2 linked regions of the Macaca fascicularis genome follow. The protein of the gene in region 2 purifies or fractionates together with the protein of the main gene of each other region. This does not show direct contact. Links are inferred from orthologs where the notes say so. Each region holds a gene or a part of one and is shown on either strand. Other genes may lie near its edges. The genes, in order: VARS1 and EEF1A2.

Region 1 (2,926 bases), on a different chromosome or scaffold from region 2:
TAGGGACATACACAGCTGCCAGGAGAGGGGTCCAGGGTTCCTCCCCCAGGCCCCCCTCCCCAGTCCCTGGCTGAGTTCCCAGCCCTGCTGCAGAAACACTCCCCATGCACAGGAAGCCTGAGTCCTCTCAGGCCCTCCCCTACCTGGTTGCTGGGTCTCCTAGGAAGGGCTGGCCCGGGCACGACGTCACAGGGCACTTAGGTCAGAGTTATAATTAACCGAGGCCCAGTAGAGGGGGAGGAAGGCCCCCACAGGGTGGGGGAGGGCAGGCAACCCCCCTGGCCCTTTTGCTCATGCCTGCCCAAGGCCACAGGCAGCAGCCCATGGCAGGGCGGGCCTCCCTTGGCCGCAGTGCGGAGGTGAATGAAAGCTGGGGAGGAGGAAGGGAGTGAGCAGCGTGACTCAGGCCTGGCACAGTGCCAGGGACAGACCCAGACAGACCCGCCCCTCTGCCCTCCAGAACCAGGGCCTCACTCTCACCCTGCAACCCCCAGGGATTCAGGCACCCAGCCCCTCTGCTCCCCTCTCTGCCCCCACCACAGATGACAAGAGGATTTTGTGGGAAAATATTTTATTGCTGCCATCCCCATGGTGAGCTGCTGGGGGTGAGCGGGGAAGCTAGGTGGTGGATCACAGCATCTTCTGGAATAGGGCGATGGCCTCATCCACCTTCCTGAGCTCTGCTTCCGTCTGTTGGAGCTGGAGTGGAACCAGGGGATGGGTGAGGACCCACGTCCAAGCGAAGAGACCCCCAGACACCCAGGACAACAAAGTTGGAAAGATGAGCGAGGACCATGGAAGGTCAGTAGCTCGGAGGAGGCGTGAACCTGGCTGGCGTGGCTCCCCACACATTTCCGCCAGCACCCCGACCCCCACCTCCACCAGCACCTCTTGGGTCTTGCCTTTTTCCACAGAGTGGTCAGTCCCCAAGAACAAAGGAACCTCAGAGCCTCCATGCTCCCCACACAGTGTCCCCACGTAAGCAGGAGAGCACAGGGTCCCAGGCCAATCACTTCATTTGTCAGATGACGATAATATTACCCCTCCCAGGGCTCTTGGGAGAACCAGGTGAGATGAACCAGGTCCACTCAAGGCTCTCTAGCTCTTGGCCTCCATGACTGATTTTCTCCATGTCTGTGCAGCTTACTATACTACTCCTCTCTGGCGGAACCCAGGAGGCAGGGGACAAACGAGACTGGCCTTCCAGGGTCAGCTCGGTAGGCTTGAAAGTAAGTGGTGGGAGGTCCAGGGCTCCCGACTACACGTGGACCCCAAGCCTAGCCTCAGGCATGCGGGTTTCCACATTTTAGGCAGCTGGGTGGGGTATGAAGGGTCTGATTGGGAGATAGGATGCCTGGTTCTAGGTCAGCCTCCATCTCCGACCTGTTGTGTGACCCTGGGCTGTGCCCAGCCCCCAGCTGCTCCCCATGTGTAAGGGAAGGGCATTCTATGGTCCCTGCTCCAAGCTCCTGGGCTCCATGCTTCCCAGTGGATTCCCCAGGTTTGGGTACAGAGTCCAGCTTCCAGACCAGGAAGTTTTGGTTTGGATTTTGGGTTTTGTTTTGGATGCTTTTTTTTTTTTTTTTTTTTTTTTGAGAGAGAGGGTCTTCTCTCTCTCTGTTGTCCAGGCTGGAGTGCAGTGGCATGATCTCGGCTCACTGCAGCCTTGACCTCCCAGGCTCAAGCAATCCGCCCACCTCAGCCCCCCGAGTAGCTGGGACCCCAGGTGTGTGCCACTGTGGCCAGCTGATTTTTCTATATTTGTTGTAGAGATGGGATTTCACCATGTTGGCTGCTCTCAAACCCCTGGGCTCAAGTGATCCACCCACCTCGGCCTCCCAAAGTTCTGGGATTACAGGTGTGAGGCACTGAACCAGGCTGTTTTGTTTTGTAAGGTTAGTGGGAATGGAGAAGGAACAAAGAAATCTGTAGCTGGTTACGATCAATTAATCGTCAACACCACTGTACTCGGACCAGCCCAGACCAGGGTTTTGACGGAGGAAGTGGATGGTGTGGGAAATGCCCACTCACGCCACACACCTTGGCTTCATCTGCCTCCTGGACTTCGAGGGGCACTTTGACAGGGTAGCCTGAGGCGGCACGGCGTTCCCGCAGACGCTGGGCCTGCCGCTGTGCCTCAACTCGCTTGGCTTGCAGCTTGCCCAGCTCCCGCGCAGGGTCCACCAGCCCCTGCAGCTGCAGGTGGATGGAGCAGCGATCAGAGGCCAGAGCCACAGCGCAACCCTGCGGGGCGGGAGCCCCCAGGGCCAGAACAGCCACCACACCTGCGCTGGACAGCGCCTGCACGTAGCCCGACACAGCCGATGCCAGGGCGCCCGTGGCCTCATCCGCCACTTCCAGGAAGCCTGCCAGAGAGGGAGAAAGGTGAGGCCTAGCTCCATGGAGACAGGAAACCAAGCAGTCACTGCTGGACACTGGGTCGCAGAGTGGGCTGAGGGGACAGTGGGATGGGGTGGACATGGGGGCGTGAGGCTCACAGTCAGGCCGGATCCGGGTGAGGTTGTAGTCCGCCCGCAGGGAGCGCACAGCTCGCGTGATGCTTAGCGCCAGCTCGAGGGCAGCTTCTGCCTCAGGGTCCTTCCAGGAGCACTGTGGGGTGGAGGAGGGGGTGAGGGGGGCTGCAGCGCAGGTCAGACTCCCCTCTCCAGGCCATGCCATACCTCTGAGGGCTCTGGGTAGGGGGTGACACAGAGGCTAGGGGGAGCTTGCGGCATCCTCCGGGGCAGCCTCTGGAACAGCTCCTCCGTCACGAAGGGCATGAAGGGCGAGAGCAGCCGCAGGCCAACGTCCAGGCAGGTGTACAGGGTCTGGCGGGCACACTCGGCTGCCACCTGGTCTACCCCATTCAGTACAGGTTTTAGGCACTCCTAGGGGACGAGAGGTACAGGGCTCACGGCTAGCCTTG
Region 2 (3,813 bases):
GGATGGATGGATGGATGGATGGATGGATGGGTGGATGGATGGATGGACGGGGAGATAGGTGGATGGATTGATAGAGAGAAGGATGGATGGGTGGGAAGATGGATGGATGGATTGATAGAAGGATGGATGGGTGGGACAATGGATGGATGGATGGATGGATGGATGGATGGATGGATGGATGGAGAGGTGGATGGATGGATGGAGAGAGAGAAGGATGGATGAGTGGGACAATGGATGGATGGATGGATGGATGGATGGATGGATGGATGGATAGATGAATGGAGTGAAAGACGGATGGGTGGGGAGATGGATGGATGGATAGAGAGATGGATGGATGGGTGGATGGATGGGTGGGTGGGTGGGTGGATGGATGGATGGATGGATGGATGGATGGATGGACGGACAGAGGATGGATGGGTGAGGAGGTGGGTGGATGGATGGATGGATGTGGGATGGACTCTTCCCCAGAAAGTGTGTAGTAAGGGGAGAGATTGGAGACAGCCCAGTCTTGAGATGCCTCATAGGAACCCCTGGTCTAGGGCAGGCGGAACTGGCTGGGCAGGAGCTCCAGCACAGCGCCCTTGCTCACCGCCGATCTTGTACACGTCCTGCAGTGGCAGGCGCAGGGGCTTGTCCGTGGGGCGCGTGGGGGGCAGAATGGTGTCCAGGGCCTCCAGCAGGGACACGCCGCTTGCGTTGCCCTCCTTACGCTCCACCTTCCAGCCCTTGAACCACGGCATCTGGACCGAAAGGAGAAAATCAGTCCATTACAGAGACATTGGTGGCCTCCCCACCCTCAGGCCTCCCCAGGGTGCCTCCAGGAATCCTGCTGTTCAGGCTAAACTTGCCTCATGCCCTTTAAGATGAGGAATTTCCCCAACCTGCTCCTCCCCAGCCCATAGCCCCAGCATCACAGGGACCCTGGGAAGGAGATCCCTCTTAAAAGGAGGAGGACAAAGAGGTAAAGCACCCTTCCCAGCCCAGGCTGCTCAGGAGTTGCTGACACTGTGAACAAACCCCCAGTCCAGCCCCAAGTCCCAGAAGGCCCCAGGCCCCTGACCATCAGCTCTAGGCAGGGCAGGTGACTTGACTAGGAGGATGCCGAGTCTAGACAAGGGCCAGGCCAGGGACAGAGCTGGAGGGGGAGCCTTGCCCCACCCTAGCTCCTGGACACCGTGCTGCCTCCAAGCTTGGCACAGCCCTGTCTGGAGCTTCTCCTGGTGCGGCCCCCACTCCCACCCCACGAAGCCTCCCTCTGGGCCACCTGCCACAAACAGGGAGCAGGGGAGGGAGCCGGCAGCACTGTGCCCCAGCCCCCCAGGGCCTGTATAAGCATGGGCCACCTAGCAGCTCAGGCCAGAGGGGAGTGTGGGTTCCCTGATGGCTGGAGGCCTCCCTGGAGAGGTGGAGAATGGCGTTCGCCACATGATACCCTGTGAGGAAAATGCCATCACAGGTAAACAACACCCAGCCTCATGAGATGGAGGCAGGGCTGGGGGAGCCCCTCTCAGCTCTGTCCCCAGACCTCAGCGCTGGGCTCAGTGCTGCTGGTCTGTCTCCCCGCTGTCTCTAGACTCCACACCTGTACCCTCACTGTTGGCAGCTACACTGCTGGCAGAGCCTAGTGGCGGCCATTCTGGTGTCTCCTCTGGCTTGGAGAACCCTTGGAACACAGTCTCAGGTTCTCCAAGTGTCTCTACGCGTCATCTCCAGCCAAGGCAGAGTCCCTGGGCCACAGACTGTTCGCACGCTGAGCTCCCAATTGACCAGCCAAGAGCCAACCCTTAGCCCTCCCAGCCAGCCCAGAAGCATGCACACTTCCCAAAGCCAAACCCTGCTCCAAGACCCCAGGGGAGGCAACCGGGGAGGCCCCCACGGCCCAGCCCACAGCCCCTGCATGTTTTCCAGAGCCAGGACAATGGCCTGACAGAGATGAAACCGACCACCCCCATGGCAGGGCTCTGGAGACCAGGCACATGGGCCGTGCTGGAGGCCACTGCTGTCCCCTGCTGTGTTGACATCGGGGATGGGCCCTGGCCCTGGCCAGCCGTGTGGGAGGCTGAGTGTAGGAGCAAAGCCTGGTGCTGAGGGGGGATGGGGCTCCCCGCCGGGCCTTGAGCCAGTTAGGGAAACCCAGCAGGTTTCGTGGGGAACCTGCATTTCCCTGGGACAGGCCCTCCACCTCCCCCTGCCACCTGCCGGTGCCTCGCTCTGGGGCAGGGGGTCCAGCCAGCCCGTGTGGCCCGCCTCGCCCTAGCCGCCACTCACGTTGGGAGAGGGCTCCAGCATGTTGTCGCCATGCCAGCCGGAGATGGGCACGAAGGGCACGGTGGCCGGGTTGTAGCCGATCTTCTTGATGTAGGCGCTGACTTCCTTGACAATCTCATCATAGCGCTTCTCGCTGTAGGCCGGCTCCGTGGAGTCCATTTTGTTCACGCCCACGATAAGCTGCTTCACACCCAGCGTGTAGGCCAGCAGGGCATGCTCCCGCGTCTGCCCATTCTTGGAGATGCCCGCCTCGAACTCACCCACGCCCGCCGCCACGATCAGCACTGCGCAGTCCGCCTGCCCAGCGGGGGACACAGTGAGCCCCGCCCCACCTGCCCAGCAGGGGACACAGGCCTCTCCAGGCAGTGGGCTGGGGCCTGAGCAGCCCACTGGGGCCTTGGGGAGGGAGACATGGGGGTCCCCACTTCAAGGGCAGTGTGGGGGGCTCATCGCCAGGCCATGGGTCAGGGGACCGAGGTTCAACCCTGGCTCCACCACCAGTGGGCTGTGTGTCCCTGGACAAGTCACTCAGCCTCTCTGGTCCTGTTCCTCACTTGGGGACAGATTGAGGTCACAGTTATCAAAGCAGTTTGGAGGTGGTGGCATGTGTCCTGCTGTCTGCAGGATGCTGTGTCTGGGGTGCCCGTGCATCTCTGTGAGTGCCCTGAAATGTCATACAGTCCAGGCCTGGCTGGTGGCACCTCTGCCCACTGCTCACTGTCCCCATCCTGGCCTCTAGCCCCTCTGTGCATGAAGGTGTGTCCATGTCCACATCTGCCCCCGTCTGTCTGGGGACTCTGACACTGGCTGGGTGTCCTCACAGGCACTGGGTCAGATGCCAGAGCCCTGGATTCCTTCTTGGGGGGGCTCTAACCCAGACCGGGTGAGGGGTGGCCCAGGTGAGGGGTCCCCTGCCCTCACAGGAAGCACAGGAGACCCCACCACCCCAGTGATCCCAGGGGCCCCCAGTGTCCCTTGAAGGGGTGCAGCGGCCTCTTCCCCAGCCCCACCTGCTGTGCCCTGCTCACCTGGGATGTGCCTGTGATCATGTTCTTGATGAAGTCACGGTGGCCGGGGGCATCGATGATGGTGATGTAGTACTTGGTGGTCTCGAACTTCCAGAGGGAGATGTCGATGGTGATGCCGCGCTCACGCTCTGCCTTCAGCTTGTCCAGCACCCAGGCATACTTGAAGGATCCCTTCCCCATCTGGAGCAGGTGAGGGTCACGGGTGAGGGTCACAGGTGAGGGCGAGACCTGGGACCCGGGGAGTCCCTGGCGGTGCGAGCTGCTTGTCACAGCAGAGTGGCCGCGGGAGGCGGGAGATGGGCTCCAGCCCCCGCTTGCTCCCCGCCGGGGTCCTGGAACGCCGGCCCCTCCGTCTGGACCCCACACGCAGACCCTGCCCCCCATGACCGGCCTCTGCACCGGCTCCGGAATGGGTGCGGCTACGCACATCCACCAGCAGGTGGCGCGAGGGCCTGGGAGTCGCCCGCTCTCCCAGCGAAGCCGCCAGATGGGATAAACCCCTCCCCCGCCAGGGCTC

Evidence for each region.
Region 1: the proteins of EEF1A2 (region 2) and VARS1 purify together in Homo sapiens (co-immunoprecipitation; 3 studies listed by BioGRID and IntAct, counting the BioPlex papers as one, with this or other methods). This does not show direct contact. The link is inferred for Macaca fascicularis from reciprocal best matches to the Homo sapiens genes EEF1A2 and VARS1.

What each region holds. Positions count from the first base shown.
Region 1 is NC_088378.1:139,937,425-139,940,350, reverse strand, and holds the end of VARS1 (valine--tRNA ligase), read right to left. Parts: intron 2,889-2,926; coding exon 2,682-2,888; intron 2,611-2,681; coding exon 2,499-2,610; intron 2,367-2,498; coding exon 2,041-2,366; intron 700-2,040; coding exon 631-699; 3' UTR 555-630; downstream 1-554. UniProt on the Homo sapiens protein: Catalyzes the attachment of valine to tRNA(Val).
Region 2 is NC_088384.1:119,612,363-119,616,175, forward strand, and holds part of EEF1A2 (elongation factor 1-alpha 2), read right to left. Parts: intron 3,477-3,813; coding exon 3,297-3,476; intron 2,566-3,296; coding exon 2,269-2,565; intron 741-2,268; coding exon 590-740; intron 1-589. UniProt on the Homo sapiens protein: Translation elongation factor that catalyzes the GTP-dependent binding of aminoacyl-tRNA (aa-tRNA) to the A-site of ribosomes during the elongation phase of protein synthesis.